Canis lupus familiaris: one gene and its partners. The protein of the gene in region 3 purifies or fractionates together with the protein of the main gene of each other region. This does not show direct contact. Links are inferred from orthologs where the notes say so. Each region holds a gene or a part of one and is shown on either strand. Other genes may lie near its edges.

What was found. Proteins that work in one complex are often made in the same cells at the same time.
Region 1: the proteins of ZMYND8 (region 3) and histone-binding protein RBBP7 purify together in Homo sapiens (affinity purification with mass spectrometry; 3 studies listed by BioGRID and IntAct, with this or other methods). This does not show direct contact. The link is inferred for Canis lupus familiaris from reciprocal best matches to the Homo sapiens genes ZMYND8 and RBBP7.
Region 2: the proteins of ZMYND8 (region 3) and CSNK2B purify together in Homo sapiens (affinity purification with mass spectrometry; 3 studies listed by BioGRID and IntAct, with this or other methods). This does not show direct contact. The link is inferred for Canis lupus familiaris from reciprocal best matches to the Homo sapiens genes ZMYND8 and CSNK2B.

Annotation. Positions count from the first base shown.
Region 1 is NC_049260.1:13,087,347-13,094,426, forward strand, and holds the start of histone-binding protein RBBP7, read right to left. Parts: upstream 3,865-7,080; 5' UTR 3,850-3,864; coding exon 3,702-3,849; intron 3,423-3,701; coding exon 3,278-3,422; intron 3,272-3,277; exon of another isoform or gene 2,872-3,271; intron 2,661-2,871; exon of another isoform or gene 1,241-2,660; intron 1-1,240. UniProt on the Homo sapiens protein: Core histone-binding subunit that may target chromatin remodeling factors, histone acetyltransferases and histone deacetylases to their histone substrates in a manner that is regulated by nucleosomal DNA.
Region 2 is NC_049233.1:1,284,320-1,291,399, reverse strand, and holds the start of CSNK2B (casein kinase II subunit beta), read right to left. Parts: upstream 3,283-7,080; 5' UTR 3,193-3,282; coding exon 3,144-3,192; exon of another isoform or gene 3,065-3,143; intron 3,054-3,064; exon of another isoform or gene 2,646-3,053; intron 2,546-2,645; exon of another isoform or gene 2,393-2,545; intron 2,270-2,392; exon of another isoform or gene 2,122-2,269; intron 1,801-2,121; coding exon 1,718-1,800; intron 983-1,717; coding exon 880-982; intron 322-879; coding exon 206-321; intron 1-205. Other genes in the region: GPANK1 (G patch domain and ankyrin repeat-containing protein 1), read left to right, coding at 4,183-4,793, 5,785-6,229. UniProt on the Homo sapiens protein: Regulatory subunit of casein kinase II/CK2.
Region 3 is NC_049245.1:34,967,402-34,974,381, forward strand, and holds part of ZMYND8 (protein kinase C-binding protein 1), read right to left. Parts: intron 3,255-6,980; coding exon 2,862-3,254; intron 899-2,861; coding exon 708-898; intron 1-707. UniProt on the Homo sapiens protein: Chromatin reader that recognizes dual histone modifications such as histone H3.1 dimethylated at 'Lys-36' and histone H4 acetylated at 'Lys-16' (H3.1K36me2-H4K16ac) and histone H3 methylated at 'Lys-4' and histone H4 acetylated at 'Lys-14' (H3K4me1-H3K14ac).

The DNA of each region.
Region 1 (7,080 bases), on a different chromosome or scaffold from region 3:
TAAAAAATTTTAAAAAGAACTGGTGATATACATAATAGTATATTCATAAAGGGAATTCTATGGAGCCCTTAAAGCAAAAGAGCATATCTAAGCATGCTGATAGGAAGTCTCCAACATAAACTACAAACTGTAAAGTCAAGTGAGTAACTTGCTATCATTAAAAAAAGATTTAGGGGAGGGGTGCCTAGGTGGCTCAGTCAGTTAAGTGTTTAATTCTTGGTTTCCGCTCAGGTCATGATCTCATGGTCCTGAGATCAAGCCCTGTGTCAAGCTCTGCACTCAGCAGGGAATCTGCTTAAGTTTCTCTCTCTCCCTTGCCCTCTGCCCCTCCCCCTGCTCATGCACAACCAGTTCACCCAAAGGGGGGGAGGGGGGAAGAGAGAGAGAGAGAGATGGAGGGTAGGTGTGTGTAATGTGTATATACACTTATTTCTGGCAGGATCAGTTAAAAAAGCCAGCCAAAAATGACTCAACTCTGGGTAATAAACCAGGAGAACAGGGAACATGGAAGGGAGACTTATTATTTTCTCTATGTACTTTGTACCATCTGAATTTGAAGGATTACAAAGGTTTCTAAGTACAGAATAAGTTAGTCTCAAGATGTTTAAGAAATTATTTAATAAAAAATATGGAATAATGGAATTACAGATTAGAAATACCTAAATAAAAAATTTTTAAGATTTTATTTATTCATGATAGAGAAAGAGAGAGAGAGAGAGAGAGAGGCAGAGACACAAGCAGAGGGAGAAACAGGCTCCATGCCAGGAGCCCGACGCGGGACTCGATCCCGGGACTCCAGGATCGCACCCTGGGCCAGAGGCAGGCATTAAACCGCCAAGCCACCCAGGGATTCCCCCCTAAATAAAAATTTTTACAAGGCAAATCCACCATGTGGACAATTACCTAATTTAGTTTAAGGACAACAGTTCAGAAAGTGCAAGTAATTATTGGGAGGTATGCTCTATGTAGTATGTAGGTAAAAGCCTCATGAGGTTGACTAGCATCACATTCCTCAAAGACCCTGGGAATAAGAGTAGCCAACATCTCCGGTGTTCCGTATAGTAACAAAACACAATCACAGTCCCTTCATACTCCAAGTAGAATCCTGCAAAAGTACCACACAGCCATCCTCAACATCCAAGAATGCAGGCTGGCTGGCATTTTCTTGCATTCCCAGAGCAACTGCACATCCCACAACCAGATCCCACTTCTTTGTATGCAAAGAACACCACGGAATACATCATTTAAAGTATTTTTTGTTAAGTTCTTAAGTGTTAACATAAAAGCAGTATTGGCGGGGGGCTGGCGGGCTCAGTAGGTGGAACATGTGACTCTTGATCTCAGGGCTGTAAATCTGAGCTCCACGTTGGGTGTAGAGATTACTTAAAAATAAAAATCTTTTCAAAAGCAGTATCCGGGCTAAGAACATACACATTTAACATCCTTAAAATTGTTACACAAAACACAGATAACATTTTCAGAAGACTTGAATAAGCAGTTTTCACTGGAATCCAAATGGAGAAACACAGTTACTACAGTCTAATTATTTCTGAATACAAAGGGGGAGAAAATCAGCATCAGTCACCACTTATTGCGGACTTCTTCTGTGCCAGCACTTTAAAAGTGCATGATCTTATTTCATTTCCTCAAAAGTAGGCAGTCAGAAGCACCAGCACCTCCACTTACAGATCAGACAGCTTGGGAATAGAGACTGACCAATGTGCCCTAATTTAGCTATTAAGAAGCAGGCGGCAGGATTCAAACTCAGGTTTCTAACCTTAGAGTCCTAAACACCTCCGCTGTGTTCTGCTGGTAAGGTAGATCAAAAAGATCCAAAATAATGTAAATTAAGCTGTTAAAGGTTTTAATTTACTTAACAGGAGTGCACAAAGAATCAAAAGTACATGGTGCTCAAAGGAGAACCTGAATACCCTTAAGTATTTGATGTTCAAAATTGTTATGTCAGTGTTTTGAAGTCTGTTTTTTATTTCTTGGCTATTCTTATCACATCTGTGTATTTACACTGATTTTGGGGAATCCTAATAAAAGCCTCTACCTATATGGAAGACAATGTCTGCATATGGAGAATTCGGCCATTAAAGGAGTAACCTCATAGAAAATTAACTTGCTCTTATTTTCAGAAATTGTCTCAAAATCCCCTTCCTACGTTAGTTTTGTTAATCCTCATTAAAAATATATGTTCACAATACCCAAATTAAATACTTTTAAAGTACACAGCCAAGTTCCTACTAGAAAAAGTGCAAGCGCTTAAGAAAGTCTAATAATACAGGAGTTGCCTCAACTCTGGGGTACCCGGTTTGGGTTCAAAATCCCACTCCACCACTTGCTGGATGATCCTGGGTATTTTAACACCCCCACCCCAGTTTCCACAACAGTAAGACAAAGATGATAAAGAATAATCATAGTATACTTTTTCATAGTATAATTCTGAATATTAAACAACTGGACACAAAACTGTTGAGATGTGCCAGGCCCTATTTTAAGTGTTCAATAATACCAGCAATTATTACCAGAGAAATTTTAGAAACGGCTGAAAAGAACCAACAGCAACCTCCAAGTGTATTCCACACTATCAGCTAGTAACGTCTTTTCTTCAGTGAACTACTGCTAAATTCTTTTTTCCCTTTGTCAATTAAAACCTATTCATATAGGGATCCCTGGGTGGCGCAGTGGTTTGGCGCCTGCCTTTGGCCCGGGGCGCGATCCTGGAGACCCGGGATCGAATCCCATATCGGGCTCCTGGTGCATGGAGCCTGCTTCTCCCTCTGCCTGTGTCTCTGCCTCTCTCTCTCTCTCTGTGTGACTATCATAAATAAATTAAAAAAAAAAAAAAAAAAAAAAAAAAAAAACCTATTCATATAGTGGTGGCTGGTTACATGGATGTGCTCCCTTCGTAAAAATCCATCCAGCCATATGCTTATGATTTGTGCATTTTTCTGTACGTGTGCTCTTTTTCAATAAAGTTTTAAAGAAATCCATTAGTCTGGGTCCCCAAAATGCTGCTCTATATTTAATCCCAAGAACTGTTAAATTCGTTAGATGCTCCCCACAAATATCATTAATCGCACTTTGTCCCCACGCTTACATATCAAAAACCATCCCATAAATCACTTGTTTTGAAAATAAAAATCACCTGCCACCTCATGCAAGGGCTAAATTGATTACACGCTCATGTTCTATGTGTAAAATGCCAAAACTAGGAATTTCGGGATAATAGTCAAATTTATGCAAAGTAAAAGTTGCCAGAAACCCTTACTTAGTCACTTCAGGAAGCCACTGAACGGTAAGACTCGGCCACTGAAGAGCATGGGTCATAACCAGGTCATACAGAAACGGTGTATTCTTCTTCCAGATTTTATATTCTTCATTGATGACACGCTCCTCCACAGTATCTTCAAACACTGAAATTTGGAGAAATCCCACACAATTAAGTGGCTGAGAGAAATCGAGTTAGAATCTGTACACAGATAGTGGAGGTCACCTCGAGATGGCCACACCTAATCTACTCCTCAGCTTTACGTTTAATTTGGACACGAACTAACTGCTCTTCCAGAACGTGAGGAGAATATTAACACCAGGAAGCTTATTTTTTGCACTTAGAAATCGATACTGCTTGCGTATACAGAATTGGGCAATTACACAGACGACGATTTTGTTTCAGCAGTTACAGCTGTTCGCACCTGTTCTAAGATGACGACCCATCTGTGCAGGGGCTCCACGACCCACCCCGGGAGACGAATCCACGTGTAGCAGAAACCCCTCGGCCCGCTCCCTCCATCCCCCACCAGGAGCGGCCTCCGCTCCCACGAAGCCCGCGTCAGCAGCCATAGGCCGGCGTGTGCCAGAATCCCCCGGACAAGGGCCGCGACCCCGAAGCGGTCGACGCGCGCGCGTGGAAGGAGCAGCCGTGTCCGCTTTCCGGTGGCGGAGGCCGCCTCCGCCCGAGAGCCAAGGGCGCCGGAGGGAGCGCCGCCGCCAGAGGGGGGGGAGGGGAGCGGGGGGGGGCAGAGGGGGAAGGGGGCCCAACCCGCGGCCCCGCGCCCGGCTCCGGAAGTGCTCGGAGCCCTCCGCGCCGCGGTCCCGTCCCGCTGTAGGCCCCTCGAGGCGCGCGCCTAGCCTCGCGCCCGGCCCCGCCCCCTGCTCCTCACGCCAATTCGCGCCTTTCGCCGGCGCGTGCCGCGGCCTCGCGCGCCCGCCGCCCCCCGCGGTCCCGGCGCGCGCCGCCCCGCAGGGCCTCTTACTCTCTTTACTCGCCATCTTGCGTCGGGTCGTTCGCCCCTCGCCGCCGCCTCGGACTCCCCTCGCTAGCCAACAGCAGCCCAACCGCAGGCGTTCCTGCCTCGCCCAGGCGCGTCACACACTTCTAGCTCTCGAAGCGTGAGCTCCGTCTTACGGCCTGGGTGCTCCCCAAACGCTGCGTCCTTCTCTCCTGCCTCCTCCCCGCTCGCGGGTACCGAGGTCTGAGGCGCTCTTCTCTCTCTCTCCAAACTTGGAACGAGACTTTTCAACCCGCGCCTCCCAGCCCGCCCAGGCAGCTGAGCGCAGGCGCATCCGCCCTGGGAAAAGTGAGAGGCGGTGGAGAGGCGGGCCTGGGAGCCAACGGCTCGGTTGTTTCAACCAATGAGGTGCGGCACGCAGGTTTCACGCGGCATTTGTGGGCGGGCTTCTGGGGGTGGGCGGGGCGTTCCGCGGCAGGAAGTTGGCGAGGCGCAGGCGCGAGGGCTCGCCCAGCGCTCCCAGGGCCGGGCGCGGGGGCGGATGGGGGCGCGCGGGGGTGGGGCGGATGGGGGCGCGGCGTGCGGGCTGCGCGGGGGCTGTGAGCCCCGGGGCCGCGGGGCGTGGCTGCTTGCAGCGGCCGTGGCGGTGGGGTGGGAGGGGGGCAGGGAGGTTGACGCGGCTTAGCCAAGCAAAATCTCAGAGCGAGAGGAAAATGGTTTCTAGTCTCGAGAGATTACTGTGCCCTCAACGTCTCCCGGATAATCACGGGCATGCAATTCTGTGTACCCTGAAAGGCTTCCCTCTAGTCGACTGGCTTTTCCCGGGGTCCGGTCGAGCTGAGGTGGGGTTCGTTGCAGGCTGAGGAAACCTTTTACAGAGGCCGCGGGCGTTTTTTGACTGCTAAAGCCGAGGGGCCTCCCTGTTAGGCTAAACTTGCGGCCTGTTACTGGCACAAGGCCTCCGACGGCCCGAAGCTGACTTGAATTACACTGTTTGTTTGCACATTTGGGTCCTTAAAATGATTTGCGGCCTCTCGAACTGCAGAGAATTTTGTCCCTACGTTCTTGTCTCCGTGCTGGCCCCTGCTGAGTCATTCTCGTCACCCGTGGGGGTCCCAGGGCGACCCCACTCCGCGATGGCTTAGCTGGGGACAGCTGCCCTATGCGGACCCGGGATGGCTTGCTTGAGCCCTGCTTGCCTTGAAACTTGGTAGCCCCTGAGGAGTGCGTGGGGGTGAGGAGAAAGTGAGCTGCAAGGCCAGGAGGGCTGTGAGGGCCAGAGGGTACCGGGTGGGAGGACGTGGCCGAGATGCCTACGCACAAAGAGAACCTCAGTGTACATCCAGATTAGGAGAGAGGCTCCCTCTGCAAAAGCACCCGAGAACATTTGGTACCTTGATATTTTCCAAGTGCTTTCACAAGAGTGACCATGGTGATCCTCAAACGAAATTGTTCAGTTGCCGCTGTGATGCCCACTTTTCCGATCAGAAAACAAACTCAGCCCTTACTCTACTTGGTGGCAAAACCAGTAATATTACCTTATATAGAAATTTACTGTCTGATGTGTCTGCTTTACAGTAGGTTACAGTTCATTATTGTAACGCTCTGCCTTCATGTTAGGCCCAGGAATCTTGTTAGGGACTAAAGCTGTGGCGGGGCAGGGCAGTGGGGGTCTCGGCTGCAGAGGAAGGAGGGTTGGAAGGGTGTTTAAATAGCACAGCTCTCATATTCTAGAACACTGGGTGGCAAACGTTTTTCTGATGGGGGCCAGAGAGTAAATATTTTAGGTGATGGGAACAACTACTCAGCTTTGCCACCTTACAGTGAGAAAGCAACCTCAGACAATATGGATGAGCCTGGCTGTACTACAATAAAACTTTATAATAGACACTGAAATTTCATATAAATAATTTTCACTGAATTTTCATATAAATTTCACGTGCCACAAAATAATCTGATTTGTTTTTCAACTACTTTAAAATAGAAAAAACATTTTTATCTCGTGGGTCATACAAAAACTGGTGGTGATTATATACCCAGAGGACTCTAGTTTGACCACCTTGTTCTAGAATAATTGCCTTAATGGCTTTGCTTCAGCGGGAACATCCTCATGTGCATGGCAAGAGAAGGCTTGGCAGACAGGTTTGAGGCTCCCTTTAATTCATTTTATTTATATTTGATGGGTATGCATGATTTCCAAAACCTATTACATGTGTAAAGGGTTGAAAGAAATCTTCCCAGACATTATGGCTTTATAATCTTTATATTGTCCACCTCACTGAGGGTCAGAGGTGGAAGTGTGAAGCAGATGTTTTGGGAGTTTCTGAAAATATGCAGGCACTGTCATATACTTCATCCAAAAGTATCATTACAACATATTTTATTAGCTTTTAGGTAGAATCTGCCGATCCTTTTCTCTAATTTTTTTGGTCTTTTTTTTTTTTTTTTTTTCTAATCAGGTACTTTTTTGCCTCCAGAAGGTAATACATTTTCCTTCAAATTGCTAAACTTTTCGATTTTACTTTTGTTGTTCACCCCAACGATTTAGCTCTGGTCCCAATCTTTTCTCCCACTTTCTCTGTGTTTTTGTCTCTCTTGCACTCGGGTAGGTCTGCTAAATGAGTAAGACACCAGCAGGTGCATGCATAAAGAGTCCTGTTTAGGTACCTTTCTCTAAGACTGTTTACATCAAAGTTACTATATTATTACCCACCACTTTGTCGATGGGACTGTGTTTTACAGGCTAGTATACTTGTATTATAAACCGAAAGAGGGACGCCTGGGTGGCTTAGTGGTGAGCATCTGCCTTTGGCTCAGGGTGTGATCCCAGGGTCCTGGGATG
Region 2 (7,080 bases), on a different chromosome or scaffold from region 3:
GGGAGCCCAATGCGGGACTCAATCCCAGGACCCCAGGATCACAACCTGAGCCGAAGGCAGACGCTCAGCCTCTGAGCCACCCAGGCGCCCTCTTCCCCTCTTCTTAGCTATAATCTGTGACAAGTTTGAAAACGTGACTCCTTGCTGCAAGAACCTGTTTCCCTTACTACCTCAGAGGAGTCAAGTGGGAGCAGAGAGGCCTCACCATCTGGGCGATGCCACGGTTGGTGAGGATATAGCGGGCGTGGATCAATCCATAAAGCATCTCGGCTGCCTGCTCAATCAGGTCGCTCTGGTTGGGGTTGTCTTCCAGCTCTTCATCTGAAACATGGCCGCAGCCAATTGCAATCACTTGTCTTACAGCTTTCTTAGGTGCCCCATCCACCTCCAGGGGCTGCTGGCTACTCATCTTTGCGCCACCCATCACCTGGGCATTTGACCCAGAAACCTGGGCCTCTGGCCCTTCCACCCACCCACCCAAGGCAGCTCTGCCTTCTCTCTATACCTCTTCAGCCTTTACTCTCTTCTCTCCCTCCCAACTCTCTCAACACATAAATGAAAAAGATCAACATAGAAGCTGGAACTCTAGACTGAAAGGTGCAAGGCAAGACAGGTAAGCAGGAAATGAGATCCATGAGGAAACTAACATTAAGGGAGAGAGCCAAGTTACAGGATCAGAGTGTAGAATGAGGCTGTCACAAATCCAGGCAAAAGTCAGATGAGAGAGCAAAATAAAGTACAGAACTTAGGACAAAAGCAATCAGAGAACCAAAAGGAAATTTAGAAATTCAAGAAGCAGATCAACAGGAATTTGGGAGAAAAAAGAAAAACCACACACACACACACACACACACAAAGATAACCCCGAGGATGCCTCACCAGGCTCCAGGTCCAAGATCATGTCTAGAGCTTGTCGATAGTGAGGCACCTGCTCATTGAGTCCAGTGAGATTGAATTTATCCTGGATGTAGTCTTCATCCACCTGTCAGGATGTGGAAGTCAAGAAGAAACCCATAGCAGAATCCTCAGCTTTGATCTGGGCACATTGCTCTAATTGGTGCCTTGTTTCCAACACAACTGCTTCTGTTTTCCCTAATTCCCCACACCAACTCAGCAGAAATCCTTGAGTCTCTCTCCCCAGTTCACATACACTGCCTTCCCATAAAAGCTCTGGCTTTTCTTTCCTAAGGATAAGCAGCTACAACAATCTCTTCCTTAACGAGACACTCCTTTTAAAATCCCTGTTCCTATTCTTGATCCCATCTCTACAGACCAGTTTTGTCCTCTCCTTACCGGCAGCTAGAACTCTAAGAAAAGCAGCGACTAAACAGCTTGGGTCCTGTGGGCAGTTATAATCCATTATATCATTAGCACAAAACTTTGCCTGTTACAAAACATTTTGATAAACGGCATTTTAATCCTAATAGGCTCCCAAATTAAGCACTACTAGTACAAGCCTAGCAATAATAATAAGAATAACAGTAGTAGTAGTAGTAGTAATAAAGTTGACTTTTCCAATATTACACCGCTGGACAGTAACAGGCTTGGGATGGGCAAGTCTTGCCACTTCACAAATTAGTGAGGGGAGTTACTGAAGGGACTCTTCCTTGACAGGAAAAAGTTTCTATGACAGCCTGTAAGAGAAGTAGAAGCTAAATATGTGGAAAAACATACAGCCAAACTTTGTGCGGACATAGCTGGGAGATTGAGAACTCACTTCACAAAAGAATTCATTGCCACGGAGCCCACAGAACCAGGATATCCAAGACACCTCCTCTGAGCTGCTCATCTTCACGTCAGCTGGGAAAAAAAAAAAAAAGAGGGTAAACAAAGGCCAAGCTCCCCCACCCTGTCTCTGGTACCTTCCCTCCTCCCCACACTCTGCTCCCCGACCATGGAAGAATTTGGAGCCCCCTTTTCTTAAAGGATCCTAGACCCTGGCGCACCTGCCTCCAATTCCTCTTATTCACTAGAGGCTCTTTGGAGTCCCACCACTTCTGAAAAACCGACAGGTCTAGGCTCACCCGTCCTACCCACACCCCTAACAATCCCGAAAACCAGCACCCTCTCCTCTTTACGTCAAGTCCCTCCCTCGCAGGGCTCTCGGCTCGAGATCCCTACCCCGCAGGTCTCCGCATGTCCCCGACACCTTTCCCAAGGGTTCCGAAGTTTATCCTTTCCAAGCAAAAGCCAGGACCCTTTCCCCTCACGACCTGGAGGTGGCCCTGGGTCCCTCTCACAGGAGTCCCCACACCCCGCCTCTCAGGCCAACCCTCCCTCCCCCGGTGCCGGACCGGGTCACTTCCTTCCCCACCCCCACACCAACGCGCGGAGACCCCATGTGCCGCGCCTAAGGACGGAAGACTCGATGCGGCAACGACCTCAGACTCACCGGCTGGGCGGGGACCGGGACCGGGACCGGGGTGGGGGAGGGGAGTTGCTGCTTCCAAAGAACCGCGACGGCTACAGCGCAGGCCGCGGACCCGACCGCGGCAGGCGAAGTAGCGAGGGGGGGGGGGCGGGGGGCGGTGTGTGTGGAAATTGGGGAGGGTGGGGAGAGGGCAACGCGCAAGCGCCAAGGGTCGGGCGCCGCAGTGAACGCCGGGAAATGGAGTCCCAGGTAAAGAGAAACTGGCGAAGCGAAGAACAGGCGAACTACGAATCCCAGGATGACCCACGAACGACCCTGGCGTCGCGAGGCCCAGGAACAAGACGCTCGGGGGTGGGGAGCAGCGGGATACCACCGGAAGCGGAAGCGCAGTACCCCGTTCTGGGCCAGGGAGTATGGGAAATAGAGTCGTAGGGTCGCGCAACTGAGGGGCCGGGAGGGGGCGGGGAAGGAACGGGGCTGGAGGGCTGGATTCCTGCAACTCCCCTCACACAGCGAGGCTCTGCCCCAGGTGTTTGCCGGCAGCCCAGGGTGCTGACCTCGTCCCCGACTACCCCACCGGGTCCTTGTTGCCTGCGGAGCCTCTCGCCAGAGTCAGGCCCGCCACTGGAGGCCCCACCCGGGCCGGTGCTTCACCCCGGGGTCTAGTCTCCTCAGGCGGGAGGTGAGGCCGGGCTCCTTGCTTGCGGGACGTGGGAAGAGTGGGCTGGGCTGAGGTGAGCGGTGTGAGAATTGGGACGGCCTGTGCGCTAACCTGAAGTGGCGCCAGCCATTCTGCTGCTCGTCCCCTTGCACTTTTCCATCTCCTCTCAGAGCTTGAATGGGGCCTTCTGCTGCGGGCACTAAGTGTGACCTTCGAACCCTGCTCAGAATAATGGTGAGGGGTGGCGTGACGTTATTTCACTTCACGGCTTCGGGGCATTCCACAGGTTTCCTCCCGCCTTCTCAGAGCCCTCCTTAACTCGGTGGTTTCGCAGGTCCAAAAACTGCGCTCGGAGTGGGGGGCCACGTTCCGGGAGGCGAAGGGCATTGTGGGGCGTTATGTAGAAGTAGGACCCCAACCGACAGAGCCTCTGTCCTCGCGCTGCCTGGGCACGTGGCATCCTGGAGGGTCCCACCGTGCGAAGGCTCAGCCTGGCGCTTCGCACACGCCCGCACCCTCAAGTTCTGCTTTGTGGTGGTTGATTTTTTTTTCAGTCACACATGTGTGTCTGGGTCGTGTGGCTATTGGACTGGCAGCACCTTTGCTTAGATAAAATTTTTGTGGTACAGAGACCCTGTGGGGTCTCCACAGAGACTGGAGTTTCTCCCCCAAATCTTCTTCTTGCATCCGGAGAAGGTTAAAAGTCTGTTTTTGTTTGGAAAGACCCTACCCTGACATAGGATCAAGGAAGATTTAAAGGGCTAGGCTGATTGTTTTCTTAACTGCACGTCTTACCTGGTGATCAAGTAGTTTGAGAGAGAAGCTGTTTTTACTTATTGGTGAGGATAGGGATGGGCCTCTGGGCAATTCTCATTAAATCTTTGTTAAGTTAACCTTTACGAGGGATATGGGCTGTTATTGTATGGCTCCCTGTTTTTCCACATGACCTATGGTCCTTAGGCCCTGTAGGGTCCTAGGTTGTGGGGTCACTTAGAGTATAAGACGGGTTTTTGACTTGGAAAAGGCTACTTTTCCTCATCCCAGCAGATCTGTGGAGGTGGTTCTGGTCAGTGCAGAGCCACCAAGGGATTGGCTTGCTTGTCTCATACGCCCTTTAATTAGTCTCATTGTCTCAGTTCTCCCAAAAGCCATGTCCAGGCCCTCCCTCATCACCTTCACCCCGGCCACCAACCCCAGTGACCTCTGGAAAGATGGGCAGCAGCAGTCACAGCCTGAAGAGCTGGAGCCCACCCTGAATGGGGCTGCAGCCCGGGCTTTCTATGAGGCCCTGATTGCAGAAGAGAGCAGCATCCCTGCATCCCAGAGATCTCAGCCTGAACCTGACAGGAAAAGAAAGAGGAAGAAGAGAAGAATGATGGGGGAAGCTGCTGTAGGAGCCTCAGCAGGACATGGACAAAGGAGATCCCTTGAGGCAGAGGACAAGATGACCCATTGGATACTGAGGGCAGCCCAGGAGGGTGACCTAGCAGAACTAAGAAGGCTCTTGGATCCCCACGAGGCAGGGGGAGCGGGGGGCAATATCAATGCTCGGGATGCCTTCTGGTGGACCCCCCTGATGTGTGCTGCTCGAGCAGGCCAGGGGGCTGCTGTGCGCTATCTCCTGGGCCGTGGAGCTGCCTGGGTGGGTGTCTGTGAGCTGGGTGGCAAGGATGCTGCTCAGCTGGCTGAAGAAGCGGGTTTTCCTGAGGTGGCGCGCATGGTCCGAGAGAGCCACGGAGAGACGAGGAATCCAGAGAACCGGTGAGAGGAAGCCTTAACCCATGCCCATCTTTCAGTGTGTTCTGCCCTTCCTAGTCCCTCCATGCCAGAGGCTCCGGAACAGACTCAAAGATTCTCTCCCTGATCCCCAGTGTAGGTTGATATGGCAATGGAATCGAGTAGTAGTAAATGTGAGCTCCCTGTTTTTTTTGTGTGTGTGTTTTTTTAAGATTTTTATTTATTTATTCATGAGAGACACAGAGAGAGAGAGAGAGGCAGAGGGAGAAGCAGGCTCCCTGCAGGGAGCCCGATGTGGAACTCATCCAAGGTCTCCAGGATCACACCCTGGGCCAAAGGCAGGCGCTCAACCGCTGAGCCACCCAGGTGTCCCAGCTCCCTGGGTTTAAATTCTGATTCTACTTACTTGGTCAAGCAACCTAATTTTTATGTGCCTCATTTTCCTTATCTGAGAAATGGGGGGTAACAAGAGCACCTGTTAAAGAATTGTGAGGATTTAATGGGTCAATATATGTAAAGTGTTAGGATGACGGTTTACCATATATATATATATATAGTTAATATATATATATAGGGGATTAACTATATACATATATATAGGGGATCCCTGGTGGCGCAGGGCGCGATCCTGGAGACCCGGGATCGGATCCCACATCGGGCTCCCGGTGCATGGAGCCTGCTTATGTCTCTGCCTCTCTCTCTCTCTCTTTCTCTCTGTGACTATCATAAAAAAAAAAAAAAATTTTTTTAAACTATATATATATAAATATACATATATAAATATATATATAAATTGTAGTTATTATGCCTTGCCCAAGATCTTGTGAAGCCTGGTTGCTATTTCTTCTAGCTGTTCCCCTCTGGGTCCCTCATTGCTAAGTGGGTTGGAAGGCAATTTCTTTCTTAGCAGAAAGGCTAGAAGGACTTCCCACCTTGCCACCCCGCTCTGCCTGCCTCCCTCTCCACTCCCTCCACTCTTCCCCTGCCCTCATCTCTTTCTCTTTTTCCCCTACAGGTCCCAATCCCCTTCCTTCCAGTACTGCGAGACCTGCAATGCTCACTTCCAAGACTCTAATCATTGGACATCCACTGCTCACCTGCTGTCACTGCCTCGTGATCTCAGGTCCCCCAACCTGCCCCTTGGGGTGCCCGCCTCCAGCCCAGGCTTTAAGCTGCTGCTGAGGGGAGGCTGGGAGCCTGGAATGGGGCTGGGACCCCGGGGTGAGGGCCGCACCAACCCCATCCCCACTGTCCTCAAGAGGGACCAGGAAGGATTAGGCTACAGATCGGTGCCCCAACCCCGAGTCACACACTTTCTGGCCCGAGATACTCGGGCCATAGCTGGGAGGGAGAGAGCCCCTCGGGTGACCACACTGAGCTGGAGAGAGGAGAGAAGGCAGGAGGAGAAAGACAGGGCCTGGGAGTGGGATCTGAGGACATACATGAACCTTGAGTTCTGACCTTGGTAAGGTCTGATCCTGATCTATTGCTGAAGTCTGAACTTGGACCTAGGCACTTTAGCTTTTACTTCTGGGGGTCTGTCCAGGTTCCAAACACTCAGATTGTAGTCAGTGGGCTCTGCCTTTCGGAGAGAGAAGCTGAGAGCTGAAAAATAAATCAAATTTCTTCTTTTGTGTTTTATTCACTTTTCTGGAAGCTATTGTGGGAAAGGCCAAACAAGTCTGGGGGCCACATGCAAATCCTACCTGAGCCAGAAGGGGTAGCCCTTTCTGGTGGCAGGATAGGGTCACCTACCCGCCCGTCTGGTTCACTTCCAGGTGCTAGCCCCAGCCTGGAATGCCCCCAGCTATTCTTTCAATCCCCTGAACCAGGAATTGCCCAAGCTCTATGCCAGGCTTGCCTGCACCAGTAAGTGTCCCCTGACCACTCCAGTCAATTCAATCACTGTTTTATTTTTTCAAGTACTGACTTTTTTTTTATTTTTAAAGGATTGTATTTATTCGTGAGAGATGCAGAGAGAGGGAGAAGCAGGCTCCCTGCAGGGAGCCGGATATAGGACTCCATCCTGCGCCCGCCCCCCCCCCTCCCCTCCCCCGTCATGCCCTGAGCCAAAGGTAGATGCTCAACCACTGAGCCACCCAGGTGTCCTTTTGATTACTGATTTTTGTTTTAATTTATTTATTTATGGTAGTCACAGAGAGAGAGAGAGAGAGAGGCAGAGACACAGGCAGAGGGAGAAGCAGGCTCCATGCACCGGGAGCCCGACGTGGGATTCGATCCCGGTCTCCAGGATCGCGCCCTGGGCCAAACGCAGGCGCCAAACCGCTGCACCACCCAGGGATCCCCTGAT
Region 3 (6,980 bases):
ACTCCTGCTCTCAGGGAGCTGACATTCTGGTGGTTATTCTGCTATCAAGCAGTCCCACATGGACCCACACACACACTCCAGTGCACTCTCACATGATGGTGAAAACAGCTCTAGGATGGATTCAAGAGCGAGCACAGAAGCACCTGGCAAATTCAAACAAAGAGCCTGCAGGAGAGAACACCCATCAATGAACCCACTTCGGGGAATCCGGTCACCGCGCCCCAGAGGGTGGGAAAATCAGGACAGAATCCAGTACTCCCTAGGCCATCCTGGTTCCTGAAAAATCTAGGCCTAACGTCATACCTTACACATCTCCTTCTTAAGACTCAGTCACTTTGTTCCACGTGGCTACTAAATGCAAACCAACGCCTTGGTCTGTTATTAAATGACAAACAGCGTGTTAAGGAAACTCTGTCAATGAGAGACATGAATTCTCAAAGGTAATCGATGTCATTTTCCAGCTATGTACTGACTGTAGAATCAAAGGCCTCAGAGTAACATGCAGTGCATCCAAGATTTCTCTGCTTAGATTCAACATTAGATGCAGATGGAAGAATTTGGACTTGGAGATCCTCAGGAAAAACAGGATCTCCCCTCCTGAGCACCCCATAAAGCCTGTGAGGTCGTGATCCTCCTGGCTCCCAACAGGAAGTCGGTCCTCTGGCAGAACACGCCCCTAGCCCCCAACCCGGCACCACAGCACTCACTTTACTAGTGTACTTGGCAATGTCCGCAGCGACGTCGGCGGAGGCAGTGGCGATAGGCAGGTCTGCGTTGACTGAGGATGCGAGGGTGCTTGCAGACCCCGAGCTGGTGACCAGGGGTGATGACTGAGTGCTGGTCACCAGGGTGATGGTGGAAGTGGATGGACTCTGCGTGATCTCCTTCTGCTGCACAGCTAGGAAAGCAAAGGGTCCCGGTCACCCCACTGCTGTGGGAAGGGCCCAACCCAGCAAGAAGCTGCGGAGAGGGAGTGAGGTCCCTGACGTCCATTGCTTAAGCTCTTCTATTCAAGTGACAGAGATTCTCCTCGTGACCAGATTCTGGCCAGGATCCTCTCAGCCTTTTCTGGGACTAGGCCTCAAGCTTGGCCCATAAAGCCTTCCGTAAACACTAACATGGCTTCCAACAGCTCAAGTTCACTTCTCTAGGATGACTCCAGTCCCCGCTGCCAAAGTACCTGCCTGAGAAACCAAGGCTGCCAAGTGAATTTACCATTTGTTCTAGCCAACACTCAACGACCCCTGTCTCCTGGTCTCCATGGGATGGTAGGAGTCTAACTCCAAAAAGCATTATTAGCAACCCCGTATGGGTTTCACATGGACCAACCACTACTTCCCATTTTTTGTAAAATTTCACCTCCCTGACTCTACTGGAGTCTCTACACAGTCCCTTCCCACCCTCACCACACTCATCCTCCTTTTAAAACGCCCAGTCACTTCTGTACAAATTGGGAATGACTTCAGTTCCTGCTGGACTGCTTTCTCCCTGTTGTAATAGTACATATTGATTACAACCCATCCTTACCAGGTTAACTAGTATCCAGCTTTGTCTTTGACACAAGACAACTTGGAAACTGAGAACCACACCATCAATGGGCCTCTTCTTGCTAGCACCTAAATTCCCCTGGAGAAGCTCCTAATTTTTACCGGGTACGAACACACACCAAAAAAAAGACTGGAACTAGGATTCAATCCTGTCCCATTAGCTCTTTAAATACCGCGAGCAATCCAGCTGCACTCCCACTGCACCTGTCCAATCTTCCTACCCTCCAGTCTTCAAAAGGGTTCTTAGGGGCTGTTCGAGACCTGGCTACCTTTCGACCCATACCCTGCTGCAACTCTTTATACTTCTACTCACTAGGATGCACTCAGTATGTGAGAGTTTCAACTAAAGACCCCAACCTCTAAGGATCTAGATCTAGGCTTCCCTGCGAGACAAGATCTGCATTAGCGCTCACGAAAGCTGGGCCAACTGGTACTCATCCAAGCAATGCCAGATGGAGCCTCCTCCATGGCTGGGGGTGGTTTTGACTCCACAACTTCGCCAACTGGTGCTTGATGCTGGCTCTTCTTCTGTAGGTGGCTAACCTCTAGTTATCAAGATACCCTTTGCTACCAATTCCTCACACCATACTCTTCCCAAAATAATGCCAAGAGGTTCATGGGTGTGCACAAGAAAATTTACACAAAGGTATTCATTGCAGCACTGCTTACAACAGGGGGAAAAAAAAAAACTGGGAGCAACCTAAATGCCCATCAGTAGGGGAATACTTGATTTAAATCAACTGTGGAATACTATGCAGCAGTCCAAAATAACATAGATAGAGCTATATGTGCTAACATGGATGAACTTCCAAAACATGCTGATGGGTGAAAAAAAAAAAAGAAAAAAAGAAGAAAAAAAAGTATGGTACCATTTGTATGTTTTAAAAAAAGGAAAAAGAAAAAAATACTATTTTTATGAAGAGTCATATATACATAAATATATATGCATACATGCATAAAAAAGGTTTCACGGTTAACAGTGGCCACTGAGAAAGGGTGAAGAATGGAATGGAAGTTCGGTCAAGACAACAGATTGTGGGGCAAATATTTTACCCCTCTCTAAGAAGCCTATATGCATGTATTGTTTCTAACACAGAGGGGAAAAAAAATAAAAGTGAAAAAAACAAGTCGCAAAACAACTTTTAAAAATAATGCCACATGGAATGCGCGAGGCCTTCAAGATACAAAGGCCATGAAACAAAAAAGAACTGAAAAAAAAAAAGAAAAGAAAAAAAAAGAAAAACATTTCTGTCTCTCCTGTCGATGTGGCGAGGAGGGAGTGGGCGCCACGTTGAACAGAAGGGGGCATGGTACCTTTCACAGCCTGTCTGGTCTGATATCTCGTCCCCTGGGTAGACTGAGGCTGCTGGCTCTGCTGCTGGCTCTGCTGCTGGCGCTGTATCTTCTGCATGTGCCACTTTTGGGAAGACGTTTGAAACTTACTTGACGAGTTCCACACGACCCGCTGCACGGCCGGGGCAGTCTCCTTCGGTAAAAGCGGCCTCTGCTTTTTCACCGGGCTTCCCGTGGCGGCGGCAGTGGCGGCGGCGGCGGTGGCGGCCGGGGCCGTGACCGTGGACGTGGTGCTGGTGGTGGCCGTGACACCAGCCGTGGGTGTTTGGGAGGAGGAGCGGGTGAGGAGCGGAGTTTCAGGTGGGGACTGGCTGCCCGCCGTAGTGGACGGTGGAGCTTTGCCTACAACTAAAGCTGATGCGTCGGGGGGCGGGGGGGACAGAAGAGGAGAGATTGGACTCAGGTTCACCTGCGGGGTTTCTCTTCTCCAGCATGTTCTGGGTTAAACAAAGCAAGGCCAACCAAGAATGCTGAACAAATTCAGTGTGGGAGGACCCCACCCCCGATGGAGGAGCACATCTCACCTTATCCACAGAGGCCGCTGCTGTGTATCTATCTCAGAGTGTCGGCCTCTTCTTGCCCACATCGGAGGCTCCTATAGGGGCCTCTGGGGCAAATGAGGCGAACTAGACCCAGCCCCTGCCCTCAAGCTGTCCACCAGTGAGTGGAGGAACAGAACCACCACAAGCTGTCTTGTGTTACGGTTAGAACTGGGTAAGCACTTTGTGAAACACCCAACCAAAGTCGACCCAGAGATTAAGAGAATCCTTTTGGCTAAAGAACCTATAGAGCCTGTACCCCTAAGTATCAGGTAACTTCCCAAGGGCCAAAGCACTGGAAACATGAAGTCACCCAGAAGGAGAGTCTCCCTTGACCTCTGACTCCCTCCAGGACTAAGTCCCAGTGTGCTCTTAATGGCCTTGACCCCTGGGACTAAAGGGAATTCCACTCCATAGCCAGAACCTTCCCAACACCATGGTATTTATCTCTAAGGAGACTTGCTTCTTTGTTGCTGTTGATATTGTTTTATAATGTTTTTTTTTCCACTTTAATTCCAGTCGAGTTAACATACGGTGTTCTATTTGTTGCAGGTGTACAATATCGTGATTCGACAATTCTGCATGTTACTTAGTGTTCATCATGGGAAGCATACGCCCTGCTTTTAATTCTGATATGTTTATTCCCACTGCCACCTTTTATCAGGCAATAACTGGTGCGATGGTCAAATCTACATCTAAAATGAGCTTTAAAAGCATAGTTTATTTTAGAGTAGCTTTAAATAAAAATACGAAGTCAATGATTATACAAAGCAAGACTTGGGAAGGGCAAGAATAATGAATGTAAATGACAAGTTTGGAAAAGGCTGCTTTCCGGGAGTCTGTCTTCTGGGAGGGGGGGCTGTGAGGGAGGGGCAGGATTTCAACAGGCGGAAGTGAGAATTTGGAGGGTGACTGCGACAGCCAAGACGTGTCCAGGAGCAGCCAGCATTTTGGTCAGTGAGAGCAGGCAGTGAGGAGTGGCAGGAAGGCGGGTTAGAGCCAGAAGCACTGAGCAGCACAGAAGGGGTAGCCCCCTTGTGCTCATTTGTAAAGGGGGGTCCGTTATCACCGCCGAGGTCCCAGCCACCAGTGGAGCGGGTCTGCCCCCGAGAGAGGATGCCCAGGGATCACACACAAAACACAGGTACAAGTCAGCACCCCCAACTTATCAGACAATGTACCTTGACATAAGTGCCTTTCAGATTTATGTAACCCAGAAAAGACATGACCTTGATTATTCCAGGAAGGATATTCAGTACCCTGAGTTTTAGGAAGTCAAGGAGAGTGACAGAAAAAAAAGAAAGGGGAGGGGGGCTGACTTTCCTGACTCAGGAGGCCAGGGGGTGCAGGGAGCTTCCTTGGTGGCCGTCCCATCTGTCTGGCTCTCCTCCGCCTTCCTGCTCCTCTGGAGAGGAAGGAAGAGCCCAGCCAAGTTCATAAGTGGAGCCGGAAAGGGAGGGAGCTCTTCATACAGTGAGGAACCCTGATCCTTTGCCGGGATGACTTTGCGTGCTGGATACTGGATACAGCCCCTGTACCTTCCAGGAGGAAAGGGGGCTCTGAACCCAGGTTTTCTAAGAGCCGTGCACCAGGGCAGTCCCCTGGTGGAGCTTCTAACTTGCAGAGAAGCACCTTCCATGCCTCCCTTTCCTTCCAGGTGATGAATATATATATCATTACTGTTGAGAAGCTAACCTAGCCCCTCTCTCCTCAGACAAAGGACAACCACAAATAGGTCCTTTTCTTTCTACTGATTTGCAGAAGCAAAGAGTAACTTTGTGGGTGGGCTGCTGCTCTGCAGTGGTGATGGCTGGCCCTCTGTTCCAAATAAAAACTGTGGAGTGTGCAATCCAAAAAAAGATTCTAGGCTCAAAGTACCCTTTGGGGTTACCAATTAGATACTAAAATATTTTGATTTCTAGAAGATTCTAATGGTTTACTGGGGGAAGTGGGGGGGTAGGAAATTCCATTTGTCCCAGAAATTTTGAGTGTATAATCAAACCGAGAGCCCAGAAAAGGGTGAATCTCTTCAAGGCCAACACTCCAGAAGCTGCCCCTACTTAATTAACCTACTTATTCTAGTACCTGAAGGGGGGTCTTTCTAAGAGAAAGATGGAAATTACCGGTGTTGTAAGGGAAGCACAGCGGGGTCTCTAAGGAAGCCTCCCTTTGCCTCTATTCTGAGATCACCAACTAGAAAGCTATTTTGCTACCTCAGGCTGCCTATTCTACATATAAGCAGCATTCCTGGCTAAAGGTGAGCTGAAGGTCACTGTGGCACACTGTAATATGCTCTTTACCTAATAAACTTGAAAGTGAGGGATCCCTGGGTGGCGCAGCGGTTTGGCGCCTGCCTTTGGCCCAGGGCGCGATCCTGGAGACCCGGGATCGAATCCCACATCGGGCTCCCTGCATGGAGCCTGCTTCTCCCTCTGCCTATGTCTCTGCCTCTCTCTCTCTCTCTGTGTGACTATCATGAATAAATAAATAAAATCTTTAAAAAAAAAAAAAAAAAACTTGAAAGTGAAAATACACCATTGAAAAAAATGCTCTAGGGATGCCTGGGTAGCTCAGTGATCGAGTGTCTGCCTTTGGCTCAGGATGTGATCCTGGAGTCCTGAGATCAAGTGCCACATCGGCCTCCCTACATGGAGCCTGCTTCTCCCTCTGCCTGTGTCTCTGCTTCTCCTCTCTCTGTGGGTCTCTCATGAAAAAATAAATAAAATCTTTTAAAAAAAAAGAAAGAAAGAAAAGAAAAAAATGCTCTACTGCAGAGTCTGATACAAAACCTGATACAAAGCCAATTCTTCAAGACCAAAACTACCATCAAACGGCTCTAGATTTAAGACTGGTAGGTCTTTGTTCCAACCTCTGGGATGACATCCTAACTGAATCATATTTTAGAATCATCTTCTTAATTACATCCACCACTCACTTGGGATCCCCTGGACATATTTCTTTCAAACATCAGTGCAAGGAAGAGCTGTGTTTCATTTAATCAACTGGGTTTCCCCTCCTCCCCAACTTTTTGGAAAAATAAGAGAACTTTTAAGGGACTAAAGTATTTCTCTTTTTGCTTTGACTGCTAGGAAGCTCACAGCCAACATGAAAGCCCAATTTTGCCAATCTGAAGGCTGGAACCTATTCCTGTGCCTAAACTTTCCCAGAACCTCCTACTATTCTACTTTTATCTTTTACAGACTTTATTTTCATTTTGTCTCATGATTAAATCTTCTTATCAGTCTGTTACAGATTCTTTCTGGAAGGGGAAGAGGCATAAAACCAATCCATCAAAAGCTATGTTTCAGAAAATAAGGAACAGTATAGCTATATCATTCACAGGAGCACTGCCATCTCTATACCCGAATATTCCCATAAACCACATGGAATAAATAGCACTCCCTGATTATTTTCTGCCACATTTGCCTCAAACCCCAATCCACACATCATCAGAATTTTTAGAGACTACCCATAAACTCTAAGGTGACTCAGGAATGGAATGGCATTCTATCCTTCCTGCCCACAGTCAACTGCTTCTCTT